Linked DNA regions of Drosophila melanogaster. The protein of the gene in region 3 interacts with the protein of the main gene of each other region in a pairwise test. Each region holds a gene or a part of one and is shown on either strand. Other genes may lie near its edges.

Region 1 (5,021 bases), on a different chromosome or scaffold from region 3:
GACACTGAGTGCGGAAATGGAAATGGCCTAGGGCCGCTCCCGATTCACAAGCAACCGACATACACACACACCACACACCGCCCAGCGGCGACAGCAGCAGCAACATGGCAGGTGAAGTGCCAGCAGAAACATCGCCAGTAGGATGCAACACCAGCAACAGCCAGGGGAGCAGTCCCCATCCCGATCCCATCCAGCAACAGCAGCTGAACTCCAGCGTGGACAGCGGAATTGCGGTGCTCGAGGCGGAGTCGCCGACCTTGAGGAGGCGCCAGCGACTGCACCAGTGCCAACGGATCCTCCAGGTGTTGCAGCGGGATCAACTCACCCACCAGCAGCTGCGCGATAGATTAAGGTGAGTGCCAGATTTTCAATCTTCTGAAGCATTCATTCGATCCAATTTAATATCAGAGGGCATATACATATATATTTATTTCCATCATTCAATTCGATGTTTTCAATTTGATTGACAACAACTTGAAGCTGTGGAAGTTGGACTGTGCCATGTGGCCAGAACGGAAGCCACAGGCAGCTGGGGGATTGGCCTGAGCCGACTTGGGTGCGCATGGAGCCCACAATCTTACGGCAAACTGCTCTGGGTGTATGCATCTGCATTTCGCAGACTGCAGGCGGATATCAATTTATGCAAATTTGCCGGCCTCAAAATGGAAATGACAAAATCTCGGGTGCAGTTAGTCAGTTAGTCAGTCACTCAGCCATGTCATTCGTACAGCCAGAAATCTTTCCGTGAGCAGTCGGAGTCTTCTGGGAACTCTTTTTTAGACAATTGTCATGGAGAAACCCGCTGCCTCTGACCACCGAGCTTTCGAATGAGTTTGCAATTTGGTTGGGAAACTGTGGCGGGGAAGTTCCATTAGAATGATAATGAGGACCAACCCAGTTCGGCGATTGTAATTGGAAAACCTCTTTGAACTATATTGTTGTCTGTTTTCAGTGTGAGGAAAGATACACTTTATAGTTGGATAATTATGCTACATAAACTTATATAACTATGTTATTGATAGAGAAACAAGTTGGAGTCTCTTCATTGTTTTTTTTTTATAATATTTCAGGATAGAGTTTTATAGAATTATAAATACGAATAGAGCATTCCGGAATCGACTGGTTAGATTGTGGAGCACCCAAATGTATGGCCCATTCCATGATAATTTCGTTTTCCACACGAGCTTCGATGCCCGAGGAGCGGAGTGGCAATCTTATCGAATGTTTCATAATTAAGTTGATTAATGGCAATTAATTGCCGTAAGCTTTGCATGCCCAATGGCAGGGCCAATCGATTTCGTAGGTTTTTCTTTTGGCCACAAACTCTTGCCACCATCCTCCAAGCGGCGGACATGTGACTGGCAGCTGCCAAGTGGCATATGCAATTGCATTTGCATAAGGTCCGTTGGACAACGTGGAATGCCAGAGAATAGTGGACGGGGTGGGTGGGTCATAAGTGTCCATATTTCTGCGGCTCAATGGGGATTTACCCGCCAACACCCACCCACCCCCACCCCCTCAGTTGCATGGCCAACAAAGCTCTGACCCAGTGCGCCAATAAGGGCCAGTTCCAATTTGGTTACTCGCCCGCAACGCACACAAATCCTAAAAAAAAACCACAAAAAATTTAAAAAAAAATTTAAAACCCTGGAAACATTTGGCCGTAGATTCAACACAATTGGAAAGAGTGTACACCCGTTTGTGACCTCACACCCGAAATAGTCTTGACACTTATCTGCGACTTTTTCGTCGCATACCGAGATATATATATTTATATATCTCTGGACGCGAGCGGAACTCTTATCAAATCAACGGTCGGTCGGTCGGTCGGTCGGTCGGCTATATACGCGATCCGCCATAACGAAGTGGGCAAACAAAATCCAATATAATGCCCATATACCCCAGTTATATATTGTGCAAAAAAGTAAACAAAACCGAATTCAACTTGGCTAAAACAAACCTGTCGCCGCTCCACTCGCAGTCGGAGTCAGCTGCTCCAATCGCCAAGTTAACTTAACTTGAAGATCGTTGGCACGGGGGGCCCTTATCCACGTGATCCTAATCAGTTTGTTGTATGTTTTGTTTCAATTTGTGCGTCATGCAGTCGGGATTGTTAACGCTGTCGACGGTTTGGGCTTTTTGAAGATGGAGCAAGGTGATCGGCGGGCGGGCGATGGCAATTAGCGGACTGAGTTCGTGTGGCAAGCACCTGAGAAACATATTGCCCGAAAAGTGATTGATAATCGTCGTTCGTAACTGCAAACAGAAATAACAAGACAAGCGAAATTTGTGGTAATTATTTATTCAGATATTTCGCCAGTGAAGTTCATTTCGGTTCAGTGGGAAGATTCCACTCCCAAAATATTACAAAAAAACCAAACAAATTTATAAATAAAACCCACATCTTTAATGCCAACTGAAGTGAATAGCACGATAATTAAAATACATCATTCTTAGAACCACACACACACACAACTGATGCTATAATTTTTGTAAATAAAAAAATGCAAAACCAAAGGAGATTATGCAACTGCCAACTTCTATAGAAGATCTCGATGAAAAAAAGCAAAAATGTCGATAGGAGCTTTGCAAAAAAACACATACAGACATTTATCAAGTTTAATTAGTGCTAATCGCAATGTGCAAAAATAAACACAAAGGAAAACACTTAGGCAATTAAATTAACGTATAAATAACTGCTAGTACGTGATTCGAACTGCAGACAAAGTTTTTTCTAAACTTCTCTCAAGTGATTGCATCTAAACTACGAGATTTGCATACTTAAATGAATAATGTTCTTTAAGTGATTTATGACAACAATTTCATTTATCCTTCTTTGCATTATGCTGAAAATTATTTATCACTAATGGTCACGACTTCAAATGTGACCAATTGCACTGAGTTGTACCTAAAAATATTTATTTACGTGATATTTTCGCTGGGAACTAATTGTATTACTGGTTTACCAATTTTCTATTCAACTTAATAACCGAAACTTAAATGCCCTGCTCAGGGTATATTTACCCATACAACTTCATGTCGAAATCTAGGCAATTTAAATCGAACAAACAAAACTTTTGATAAGGCTAAGGCCAAAGTATGTATTGGCCGAAAACCACGTAAAATGTCCACAAAGAGATGATAGCCGCAAATGAAGAATGTTCGGCTCTGATAAGTAGTAAAAAATAGTTTGGTGTAGTATTGTTCCGGATATTTCATTGATTCAGTATAGTTAGGGTTTTCAATCGAGGTGGAATTAAATCAGAGCTGCTTCCGATAAGTGTGTGTGTGCGTGTGCTTCTGATGCAAATGCCGCGAAATCGATAGCGTAATTGAATTCAATGCGAACTCCGCAGTGCCTGAAGCGCTGGATGCGCCCCTACATCTGCCTCATGGAGCTGCCAATCAACCGACCTGGAAGCGGGAACCTGCTGCTGGGACTCACCTCCGTGGTGGGTCTCATTGGAGGCGCCTATCTGCTGCAGTGTGGCGCCCAGCAGCTCTTGGGGTGAGTTAATCAAATGGGAGATAAATCAAAATATAGCATCCGATGGATACAAGTTCGACTACGTGAGCTAAGCTCCGCATCCGCACGTGCACTTTGTATGCTGCAGATACAAATGCAGCGCGAGATAAATCCGAATAGAAACTGAAACTAAACTTTCTTGACTGCAACTTCAACCCGGTTACGTGGCCATCGTTTCGCATGAGTTGATTGCGTTTGCGTGTGGGAAATGGCCGAGCTGAAGAGATTTGACATAATTGTTGCCATTTCTCCAGTCGCCGTTTTCCACCAGCTACCATTTGCCATTTGTTACTTGCCCCGTCGACCGGGATGGCGATGCAACTGCTCACTTTGGGCATCGAGTGCGTAGCGTCGCCTTAATTAAGGATTGCGCAATCTCCGCCACCTGCCTCCAATTTATGCAGCACCTGTTGTGTCTCGGCGATGGCCTGCCGGTCCGTTAGACGTTTCATAACATTGCCAGTCCAGACCCAGACGAGCTGTCATTGACTCTTCGCGAATCCGTCCACAAGAACGATAGAACCTCGAAGAATGGCCAGCGGAAGTCGTTGGCCAACAAAGGGCACAACTTTCCACCGCCCACCCGCCGCCAGCTGCTTTTTCCTTAAAAAGCGTCACAAATTGGCAATAACAATTGGCCATGGCTAACAACGCCCCTCAATTGTTGGCCTTTCGTCACCTTTTCAATGGCATCTTAATTAGCCGCTTTGTTGACAGCATTATTTGTATTATTATAGCGACGGCAGTTACACATCATTTTTCAGTGTATTAGGGTAATATGCGTATCGAAACTATAAGGCTCTGAGTAATGCATATCTTTGAGGCACAATTTCTTTATATATTTAAGCAAGGAAAAGATTAAAAACATAAACAGAATAATAAAGTTTATATGAGTACCATTTTCTACATACGAGCTTTCAGTTCGCTTATAATTCACTTATTAATTTCCGGGTCTTAAAGACGACATTTTATGAACGACATTCTATGAAGCCAAACGAGTTGTGGAACTGTGGAAAGTCAGCCAAATGCAATTAACTCTGGCCGATGGCAGAGTTTAGATATGCACAGAAATTCTGGGTTTTATTCGCCATTAAAGTGAGAAGAAACCAGTTATCTTGGCCTTGTGGCAAGTGAAAAGCCGCAAAACGAAATATTTTTAGTGCTTTCAAAACCAATTGTGAGAACAATAACAAGTTGTGGAAAATGTTTAAACTAATGCGATATTATTTACTTACTATTGAGCAGTATTGTTTTCGAGTTTGCTTATGGTTAAGGCTGTTGAAAATCGTTTTCTACGTAATAAAGCATGCTTTTAGGCATATGAGTTTTATTTGAATTTAAATAAATTTAAGATTTGGCCAGGTGAATTAAGATATTCAAGATAATTCATGAATCCATTTAGATACGGTCAATGATGATCTCACGAAAGCCGGATAGTAAACTCGGAGATAATCAAAAGATTATTACACTCATATCAATAAAACAATTTACGATG
Region 2 (7,005 bases), 5.1 Mb from region 3:
TCGTCCGAGCCCGGTAGCGGTTGCAAAACAAATTGCATGGAAACCATTTTAATTTTTCAACTATTCATGTACACAGTGTCCTCGTTGAATTTTCATGTCACAAAACGTTGAGAGACTTTCAGAGTGACCGTACTGGCTAGAGCTGGGACGAAAACCGATGCCGCCCGACTGTATCGATGGTTGCCGGAAAATTCGACGGTATCGATACATTCTCCAAACAAATTTATTGGTAAACAAAAACTTTACTTTCAAATTAAATTGACATTGACTACAATATGTGTACTTAGGCTGTATATATTTTATTAAATTTAAGATACAGAAGTTCACGAATGCGTCCATTCTTATCGGTTGTTTTTCCTTAAATAGTGGCAGTCCAAAAAATCTCCAATAGAATATACTAAAATATACTAAAGACCGCTTTAAAATAATGAATTGGTAGAAAACTTTGATTGACAAACTTTTGAGAAGCCGATTTAACCGCTTTTACGTCGCGTAAACCGTTTGCTTAGGAACTAGAAATAAAATTCAGTTTGTTCACTTTGTTGTATATTTGAGGAATTTATTTAGGTCACTGAGTATCGTTAATGATCTTAAATTAGAAGGAAATTAGATAAGTCAGCAGAAAAGCATATACGTTTACTAAGGAGTTTCCAAATCTAAAGCTCTCAAGGGTCCAGATTTTTAACAGAAGGTATACCTGAAAATAGTTTCCTTAAAAAAAAATCATATTGTGACTTTTAAAACAGTTTTGTTAAAATTTTATCAAGCTATAGCTTTTAAATGTTTTCTCCCTTGCTGAAAAGTGAAAATATTCATATATGTTGTACTCGTATATTAAAATCGTGTTATAAGTGGAGTTATTAAAGCAAGTTTAAACACATTAATTTTGCTTTAATAATTTAACGTAGTTCTTTCGTTTATTTTATAGCATTAGTGAAATTTATTTTAAAAGTATTTTTTCATTTCTATTTGGGAAATTATACATAGAACCATGTGTATGTACAGATATAATTTCCGAATCCGAACCTTCTTACCAAACGCAGATTACTCGACAATGCATCTAAATATATGTATAGTTAATGATATATTATTTATCGATTGTGCTCATTGGCACTACTCTCGTACATATTAGTAGAATATTCATCGATTGTCAAGTGGCTGTTACTTTCGATCATACCCGAGTCCATATTGCTATAGTCCTTGGACGCTTTACTTAAACCATCACTACCGCAATAGGGAAGACAACCAATTCTGCCTAAATCATTTGGATTATTGGAATCTAGAGGATTATCAGCACCCGGTGGCAAACTAGTGCAATGTTGCGTACAATTGTCGCAGGGATTCTTATCAGTGGGCACACCATTGCCGGATTGGCATGAATTTGGGGAGGAGGACGGTTCATATTTCCGGGGTCTCCCTCTCGACAAGTGCCGCCTTTTGACAAACTCATTATCGTCGACCATCCAAAACGAGCCAAAGTCATCTTCATAACGTACAAAGCACTTGTGTAAGGAAAGGTTCGTACGAATCGCATTCTTTATGATTGGTTGGACAAAACAAGAGCCCCATCAAGAGTCAGAAACAGGAAATTGCATTATCGTGAAAGGAAGAAAAAGTTCATTGAGATATTAAGGTTAGTTCATTTGTCTTCGGTCTTCTTATTTTCATTTTTCATAACACGCGAAATCCTGGATAATCTTCATCAGCTAAATTCCAGACAGACAGACAGACAGATCGATGAGCAGACGGACATCATTTTGGGTTTCTACCACTAAGAGATTAGAATCACTGTTTACAATTTGCGCTGTAAAAAGATCGTATAATGTCATATTATATCATTTCGATATAGGAGCATGCATGCAATGGCATATGTATATTTACTAACAGAGCAAAACGGAAGGAGTTTGGAGCAAAGTGAGTAGAATTAAACTATTTGAGACCCACATACCCAATGTTCATGGCTACAAAATAGTTAGTGTCCGGCGAATTGGTAGCACCGGTTAGATTGTTACCAATGCCAGCAGTGCGCTGCGGTCGTCTTTTGTAAAACTCAATCTCATCGACAGTCCAAACTGCTCCTTTCACATTCTCAACCCGCATAAAGCACTTATGAAGGGACAGATTGTGCCGGACTGCGTTCTAATGATATATATTATCAGTTAGCATAGGCCAAACTTAATTTGATTATTTTAAGACATATAAAAAGGAAATGGAATAAAACAGGATCTGACCTGTGTAGCTTACCTTGTTATATATCACTTGTATTTAGCTCTATTATACTCTTAAATATTGGCAAAGTAGTGGACAATGTGGAAAAGGTAGTATATAGTATATATACAGCGGACAAGCTAGGAACGCCAATCGGACAAACGAGAGTTATACGGACGGACAAATGGTCATATCAGATCATAGATATCATATCATATAGCATAAATACTCAAATTAAAGTTATGTTGCATAATATATAGATAATATGGAGGAAAGAAGATTTACATATATGGGGCATTTTACCTTCCACGTAGCTGCGTTGCGCCGGAAGTAGCAAAATGTGTTTTGGAACCAGTTGTAGATTTCGTTTAGGGTTAACTGCTTGTCAGGGGAGTCAATTATAGCCTATAAATAAAATATATATAAAAAAAATAAATTAATGTTATATTAGGAAATTGGTTTTTAAAATTACCTGTCTTATGAGGGAAGCATAAGTAAAAGGCGGTCGTACATCAGCATTCTTATAAAACTCTCTGTTTCGATGGATTTCTGCAAATTTAAATTCTTATTATATGTCTTCCAGAAGCACAAGACGAATAGTCATCAAGACGATCAGTCTACATAATTTACTTACCCTGTTGCACATCAAGACCTGCTCTTTCAAGCATATAGGGTAATCCTATATCCAAAAACCATTATTATTTTTATACAGTAATAGTAAATTTTTCCCAAACTTACCCCCATTTATGGAAAATGTATTTTTGTCGTGGTTTCTCTTTTTGATCGAGCACAAGTTGGTGGAATTAACCATTGGAAGATTCAGAGGACTCGGTGAATTTGTTTGTCGGATGGGTCGGCCTATGCTATTTACGGTAAGCGGACTCCGGCAAAACTTTCCCTCTCTTCCGGGCACGTCCTTATATTTATAACTTTTCATTATACCAATACTTACTCACATAAAAAGGGACTTACCTTCCTGTCGATTTTGGTGGGAGACAAAAGCTGCTTGGACAAATACAAGTGATGCATCATTGCCTGCAAGCGATCTCGTTCTTTTTGCAGGTGGGATTCCAGCTGGGAGACAACTTGCATTTGAACCCGTGCCTGTGCTGTTGATCGATCGTCCAAACCATGTTCCGTATTCAGATGCCTAGTTAGATAACATACCCTATATAATTATTTCATACCTCTAATTGTACTCCACCTACTTGACAAACGATGTGATGTCTTCCAAATCCATTTCGCAACCAGGCCAACGGCATATGCCATGAGCAAATAACGGATGATAGTACTTCCGCATGGCGAACTCATCGTGCATATAGCTGAAATCATTGTTGCACACCTCATTATCCTTCGACCGCAAGAATCTCTCTGCATCGGAGAACATGAGCTTCTCCTGCTCGGATATGAACTCGGGCACATTGTAGAAACCCAGATCGGGAACGGGAGCCATCATATGCTGACCCTGTATATGCATGTGTGGATTGGATTCGTGCTGCTGGGCCGCCGTTGAGGATTCATCGATGCTCGAGGCCGGTGAGCTGCACTTAACTACATGTGAGGCAAAGGTGATCGAGTTATTGAGAAAGCCAGTCGGCGGAAAACAATTGTTCTTAACAGCATCTGAGCATATGTCTGGTATGGAAATTTGGTGTCTCGACTTCACTGATATCTCCTTCTGAATCGAACTCTTAAAGTCCGATTCCTTGGCATCCTCGGAATACTCGTCGTCATGTATCCGATGCATGTTTTTAAAACTGAAATTTATAATCATTACCATTGATCCTTTACCCAAGAGATGGGCATATGCAAATACACAGAAATAATCTCTTTTTCGTCTGTCATTAGGAGTCATTTCAATAAAACTATCTTTACTCATATGCCGCCATTCCTGTAAAACTCCGAATCAGAGTGATAGTTTAAGGATTTCTATTTATTACGCCCTATTTAATTTCAGCTTAATTTTCCCGCACTATCATTGAGATGATACTTTCCCCAAAAGTTATGAATATTTAACAACTTGGCGCATATAAGATTTAACCCCTACTAAAGGCCCAGTGCTAAATGAATTCAGTGTAAATTAAATTAAACATTCTTTAAATGTTTGATTTAATTTTAAATATGTTACAAATAAAATGCCACGTCATCCGGTGCAGTTAATCTGTAAATATAAAGGTTATTCATAGAAAGCATTTATCATATTTAGGCGTATAACAAGTTTAAGATCTCACAAGGGGATTGCATAGGTGGCAAGGAAACCAGACACATCTTATTTTGCTAAAAAGAAACATATACAACATACATAACATAAGAAACATACAGACGGAACGGTCGGACAAACGGAAGGACATACAAACGGACGGACAAACGGACGGACAAACGGACGGACAAACGGACGGACAAACGGACGGACAAACGGACGGACAAACGGACATACAAACGGAAGGACATACAAACGGACGGACAAACGGATATAAAAACGGACGGACGTTTTGGCTATAGGATGAACTTAAATGGAAGAGTATATGAGTTTTGCAGATAGGACCATCTTACGATTGTTTTAATCAAATTCCTGTAATGAAAAATTATATAGCCACCTAAAATAAGAATAAATGTAAATGGTGAAATATGTAAGTATTAAATGTTTTATAGGAAAAGAAGAAAGATATAAAAGAGAAGAGAGAGGTATGGTTTTCATCACATTCGAAGATCCTGAAAAAATAGTATTATATTCGATATACATAAGCTTTTTGTGTAAAGGCGAATAAAGATAAATATATTGTTGGTATTGTGTAGATTTGCATTGTCTGTATTCGTTGGGGGCATTGATTATTCCAAGGGGTATATATGGGTAAATAAAATATTCATATTTCATATGTATACATATCATACAATTTCTGTATAAGAACTGTTTAAACTGGGACTTTTAAGATAAAGTTGTCTGCCTAGACTACTCAACAATATCTTAATTAACTTAACAGACTAGACTTAAATTTTGCGAATACATACATGCACATACAATTTTGCAGACAAAAGAGGATACAATTTTGCATGTACATTTACAATTAAATAACATTCACAGAGGTTTCCAAAGAACAATATTATATTTAATAACGGGCGAATTTTTTAATACAACTTTTCACATATATGTAAAATTAATTTAAACTTAAAAACTATCTTAAGAATATTTTTCGCTGCTACTCCTGAAAAGGTACGTCTACGACTACTGAATTTGCTAGAAATATGTGTACACATTTTTGCGCATGCGTTTCAAAATGCATCCTAAGGCTCCATTACACGTAACGATTTCAAAAATTAAAAACTTTTAAAAGTCAACATTAATTTGCCCAATTAATATTAATATTTAAAGCAATAAGAAAGTGATAAGTAGGGTTTTTTACGGAGGGGTAATTTCCAATAAATATATGATTTACCAATTTCCTTATATGAGAAAGTTTTATTCTTATTAACACAAAAGTTAAATTCCATCTAAAGACGAATATTTCCCATTTAAATAAGCCATTTTAAGCAATTGTGTTAAACTGTTTTATTGCGAAACTGTTTTATGCATTGGTATTTGGTAGAAAGAAAGTGATGTTTATAAAGTTGTAATGGCTGTATCATTTGTTGACAACGTTTTCTCTAGTATTCCTCATCTTCCCCCAGTTCGGTGGTGGAGTCGATGCCTACCTCCTCGTAGTCCTTCTCGAGGGCAGCGAGATCCTCGCGAGCCTCGGCGAACTCGCCCTCCTCCATGCCCTCACCCACGTACCAGTGGACGAAGGCCCTCTTGGCGTACATCAGATCGAACTTGTGATCCAGACGGGCCCAGGCCTCGGCAATGGCAGTGGTATTGGACAGCATGCAGACGGCGCGCTGCACCTTGGCCAGATCTCCGCCAGGAACAACGGTGGGTGGCTGATAGTTGATGCCCACCTTGAAGCCCGTGGGACACCAGTCGACGAACTGGATAGAGCGCTTGGTCTTGATGGTGGCAATGGCTGCGTTCACATCCTTGGGCACCACATCACCGCGGTAGAGCATGCAGCAGGCCATGTACTTGCCACGACGCGGATCACACTTGACCATCTGGTTGGCCGGCTCGAAGCAGGCATTGGTGATCTCGGCCACGGTCAGTTGCTCATGGTAGGCCTTCTCCACGGAAATGACGGGAGCGTATGTCGCCAGTGGGAAATGAATGCGTGGGTAGGGCACCAAATTGGTCTGGAACTCGGTCAGATCCACATTCAGGGCGCCATCGAAGCGCAACGAGGCCGTAATGGAGGAAACGATCTGGCCAATTAGGCGATTGAGATTCATGTAGGTGGGTCGCTCGATATCCAAGTTGCGCCGGCAGATGTCGTAGATTGCCTCGTTGTCAACCATAAACGCACAGTCCGAGTGCTCCAGCGTTGTGTGGGTGGTTAAGATCGAGTTGTATGGCTCGACCACAGCTGTGGACACCTAACAGGAAGTTCGATTATTAGATTGCCTTTCGAAGACTAATTTCCCATGTCTTTTACTAATTATGTTAATTGGTCTTCTATAAATGCTCAAGCAATAGATATAATATCCATATGCAAATGACATACTTGTGGTGCTGGGTAAATGGAGAACTCCAGCTTTGACTTCTTTCCATAGTCCACGGACAGGCGCTCCATCAGCAGCGACGTAAATCCAGAGCCAGTGCCGCCGCCGAAGGAGTGGAAGACCAGGAATCCCTGCAGACCCGTGCACTGATCCGCCAACTTGCGAATCCTGTCCAGGACCACGTCGACGATCTCCTTACCGATGGTA
Region 3 (4,778 bases):
ATCGCTTTATTTCTAAGATTCTCATTATATTTCTAGCTTTTGAAACTAATGTATGAAAATTTTAACTTACGAAATGCGAGTATGTTTAGAACAAAATGGAACAAATTTGTAATTTCGCCACTGATCTGGATTTCATTTACCCGATTACAGAGCGGTCCGAAAGAGAGACCAACTTAGTTAGCAAATGAAAATGAAATGTTTCCCTCTATGTAATTCTGATTACAAAACAAAATGAGCCACGAAAAAAAAAAAGCAAAACCGGGCTTCGAATGTGCCCCAACCGGCAGACAAAACAACCGAAGACAAATGGCCATAAAATGAAAATTGCAACTTTGGAAATTATTCGGCAAACAAGTTATGAGCAGCCGCGGCATTTGGGCAGTTGCGGCGGCGCCAATTTCCACGGCACCCTTTTCCTCCGGTTTCCTAGCTGGAGCCGCAGCTACTCCTATTTGTACCATTAAGACCGCTTCCGTCTTTGAGGCAAACTGAACTCACATAAATTGACGCACGAGGCGCGCAAAAACAATGAGATGGGAAAAGCATAAACAAAACAGCAGCGGCGGAAAAGCTCTTCGAAAAACAGATGATGAGGAAAATACCCACCGTGCAAAGAAGTGAAAAGTACACTTGAAACAAAAATATAATCCGATATTTGTTTGGACTAATAAAAATTAAACTACCAAATTTATAAAACCGATGTGTAAACAATATGATTTCTTGATCATACTATTTTCTGTCGCATTCAATCGCACTATAGAGAAAAATATAAAAAAAGCATGAGAGCCGCCACCCACCTGCACCATTATGAATTGATTTTCATGTGAGGGCACAGAAAAAATAATATTCGCTTGGGAAAGTGCCCCGGAAAAGTGTGTAACGTGTAACGACCGGCACCGCTCTCTCCCACACTCGCCCTGCCAATTGCTGCAAAAAATTGCCAACCACTGTCACCCGGAGGAATTTATTGCTCCTTTTGTGGGTAGTGCACGCTATCCTTCGAAAACCAAAAAAAAAAAATTTTTAAGTTTTGAAAATATATTTGTTTGACGATTTTCCAGGCACCAGAACTTGGGAGACACAAGTACTTACATACATACATACATAGAGATGTTTTTTTTTTAGATTTTGAAACTCAAGTTCGGAAGACGATGAACTCCATATCGCCGGGGAGTGTGTAACCCACTCCAGCCCTTTCAAATACCTTTCTCCTGTCCCATCACCTTCATCATCCAATCCACCCGATCCAATCTAGTCCAACGCCCTTGCCGCCGGGTTTGCTCCGAAAGTCGACTTGGTCCGCTCGTAACGCAAATGAAGCATGAAGCCTGAAATATTAGCCAAGTGCGCGGCTGGCGAAAAATGCGTCGCCCTGTCGCACAACTAGGCAACCCTGACAGCTGCATTCCGCAAATGCAATTAAACCAACTTTCCAATGATGGATTTTTTCTTTCGATTATAATTCAGCCGTTTTTCCCCGTCTTTTTGCCATTACCTTATTAGCTAAAAACCTGTAGCCTGTAGCTCGGGCAATGACGATAATGATGATATCAAATAAATGACTAGGCGCCCGAGTGCTGCAAGTTTGAGCGGTGAGAAAATTGGCATGCAAAGTGAAAATGTTTTGGGGAAAAAACCTATCAAAGCCAACACAGAAACGCATGTCGAGGGTGTCGAAATTTTTTTGAGACACATTTGTCGAACATCAAATTCGAAAGCCAGCAGATCGGTGGATGGATCGCAAGAATGTACAACTCAAGCTCACAAGCCTCACTCCAGAACACGAGCCTCCATCTACAAGTTCCGCCTGACCAACATGATCCAGGTCCCAGAATGCTGCTTGAGGTCATATCCCTAGTCCTGGTCATCACAACGTTATTTTGCTGCTACTGTTGCGTCAGATGAATGGATCTAAGCGATCCGCTCAATGAAGAAAAATCTCCGAGAGAAATGTGTTTTACCCAATCCTACTTTTTGATATCCGTTAGGAAAGATAGGAAAGATATTAGTCTTCATTTTTCGAATGGACCTTTTTTTATGTAAACTTCAAGCCAATAGTTACAAATTGCATAAATAAGCACGTTACTAAGACAATTGGCTACCTTTTTACACTTTTCTTTTCTACACTTTTTACGGTTTCAAAATGCAGATTTTGAAATCACTTATTCACTTATTATTTACTTTATTCATTGTGCAGAAGCTGAAAACACTTACCAACAAAATTCGAAGCTCTGTTCGTTGCTGGCACAGATGCTGTTTTTTACACAGTTGTTTTTCGGCGTTCAATTACATATATAAAAACAATTCAAAAGAATGGCGAGTCAATTGGAACAGCCACTGCAGAGTCCTAAAGTTGTTGTTGTTGTTGTTTGGAGCTGCTTTTCGGGAACAGGCCAAAAATCATTAGAAATTTCTATACTCGAGCGAGCAACACGTACACACGCACACATACGCACTCGCACACAGAGGCGCACCCACACACACTAATAAACGCGGGCCAGAAAATAAAACGGGAAACGTGTTTGCTTGTGTACTGTTGTTAGAACTGTTGTTGTTGCTGCGTTCGCAGTTGGCTGTTTACGGCAGTCGTTGTTGTTTATACAGGTTGTACATATGTATTTGTGAGCGAGAAAAACAGTTTTCCGCCGCGCCGTAATTGCAACTACTCAGCTTGGTGGATTGGACTCCCGTCAAAATCGGAAATAAAAGGCACTACCCACCCACATACACACACAAACACACTTCTGCCAACTCTCCTCCCTCAACCGCACAAGCGCCGCAGTTGCACCTCGACTGAATTCACGATTTTACACTGCACAGGTGCAGTGCTGCGCAAAACAAAACGCAAGACTCTCGGATCCGAACTCCGTGGCTTTGGGCTTTTCCTGCCTTATTTCCCGTGCGCACATATGTACACATTCACATGTATTCATGTACCAAGGGGCGAAATCACGTCCGAGCGGGGAATTATGTGCTTGCGTGCCGCGCTAAACTCTTAGCCACCTCCTTTTGGCCGAGTTCAAAACGTACTGCCGAGCGTAGGAATTTGTGGATATAAAAATGGGGCGGAGTGTGGCCAGCTGAATCAGTTGAGGTGGGTCGAATCGGACTACGAGCGGTATTTTTATCTGTCCGCAGGCAAGGTCTCTCTGTACGCTCTTACGTTTTTTGTTACGTTGTTCGGCGAAAAGCCTTCAAAATAATTAACAACTTTCTCGGTTTTTGAATTAGTACGTAAAGTATTGCATACAAAAATCAACGAGACGCTGATGGATCAATCTATGAAGCTTTGGGATCAAATAATATATAATATTATATAATGATATATGGCGGAGTTTAAAACCAAACCAATTTCAAGATAATTTTTTATTGCGCGTCCCGAAAGTATGCTACACCCATTCCTTTTTTTTAAATTTATTTATTTAGAAGCGATGAATCCATACAATGCAGCAATAGCAACATAACAGCGCAATTAACATATAAATGATAAAACCAAACCTCTCACTAATCATGTGAGGATTTAAACACCCATTCCTATTTTCAGAATGGAACTCGCACGAGAGCTAACGTTTGAAAACAAATGTATTCATTTACTTTACTTTTTTTATATATCGACTGGTAATTCTTAAGAATAAATCTCCACCCTGTGATGCTAAGATACAATATAATTATGTACGGATTCTTTTTAATAAATATATATAAAAAAATGTATTCATATGATTTTGACAATAATATGAGTATACATATTCCTATATTCTCCTAATATAAATATTAATAGGATAAAAGGACTATAATAAGGTAAATGTAAATATAGTCTAGGAGAAAGTTTTACCAACAATAGGGGTTATAGTCATTCATGTTATGTTATGTTCTGATTCGGGAGCTGAACCCTAACTAAATATATGGGCTCCTTGATATATGACACTTAGGACCTATAGAATATCACATTCTATATCTCGTGTATAAAACAAAACGTGAAGTTTTACCATATTTCGCCAAAGTATATATGTGGGGTTCATCGCTCGTTATATAAATTCCTAACTTGTTTATATAAAATTTGACTCGTTCCGCAAAGTTTTTGCTTGATCAGAGTGCTTTTTAAGATAGGAAAAAAGAATAAGGAATAAGATAGCTATATAGAGTCTTAGGAAATGGTTAGGAAATAATGCAAATAACATAACCTTTTCAACAATATAAGATTCAAAAGTCTGTAACTTCAGGCGATCGGAAGCTATGACAGTACTTACGAGGATTTAAAGCCGCTAAATTAGACGGCTTTTTATTGATCGTCAATCTAAAGATACTTAGATCAACATTTGTTCACAATTTACATGGTACGTTCATACTAAATTCCTTGCTAAAATTGTTAATTCTTTTAAATTAGTGAAAGAGGACTGAGTTGTGTATCAAAAATCAGGACATTTTAATTTAAAAACAAAAGATACCCGATACTTAGCGGTTGGAGTGCTAGGAAGCTAGAATTTAGGTTATACAAATATACAAAGTGAATTAAACATTTTTCTTTTTAATACTTTCTAGCTTCGGTTTATCTACAAATACAAAAGTAAAGCATTTTTGAACACTAAAATAAGGTTTTGATGCAAAATCTTTCGAAATATCTTTTTTATGTGTTATTGAACATAATATTTATTTATATTTTTTCTTTTAATTAGAAGCTATAAATGGCATATAAATATTTCAATATAATAATAATAATAATAATAATAATAATAATAATAATAATAATAATAATAATAATAATAATAATAATAACATGT

What was found.
Region 1: the proteins of smash (region 3) and M7BP interact in a two-hybrid assay, tested with the Drosophila melanogaster proteins (one large-scale study listed by BioGRID).
Region 2: the proteins of smash (region 3) and FoxP interact in a two-hybrid assay, tested with the Drosophila melanogaster proteins (one large-scale study listed by BioGRID).

The regions. Positions count from the first base shown.
Region 1 is NT_033778.4:7,626,821-7,631,841, forward strand, and holds the start of M7BP (Myosin-7a binding protein), read left to right. Parts: upstream 1-1,980; 5' UTR 1,981-2,292; intron 2,293-3,356; 5' UTR 3,357-3,371; coding exon 3,372-3,508; intron 3,509-4,674; exon of another isoform or gene 4,675-5,021.
Region 2 is NT_033777.3:9,725,479-9,732,483, forward strand, and holds FoxP (forkhead box P), read right to left. Parts: upstream 5,395-7,005; 5' UTR 3,956-5,394; coding exon 3,417-3,955; intron 3,359-3,416; coding exon 3,181-3,358; intron 3,125-3,180; coding exon 2,947-3,124; intron 2,888-2,946; coding exon 2,843-2,887; intron 2,758-2,842; coding exon 2,681-2,757; intron 2,614-2,680; coding exon 2,512-2,613; coding exon of another isoform or gene 2,449-2,511; exon of another isoform or gene 2,140-2,448; coding exon of another isoform or gene 1,930-2,139; exon of another isoform or gene 1,673-1,929; intron 1,536-1,672; coding exon 1,092-1,535; 3' UTR 542-1,091; downstream 1-541. Other genes in the region: hyd (hyperplastic discs), read right to left, coding at 1-47; alphaTub85E (alpha-Tubulin at 85E), read right to left, coding at 5,851-6,672, 6,801-7,005.
Region 3 is NT_033777.3:4,657,836-4,662,613, reverse strand, and holds the start of smash (smallish), read right to left. Parts: upstream 3,036-4,778; 5' UTR 2,215-3,035; intron 2,088-2,214; exon of another isoform or gene 1,675-2,087; intron 1-1,674.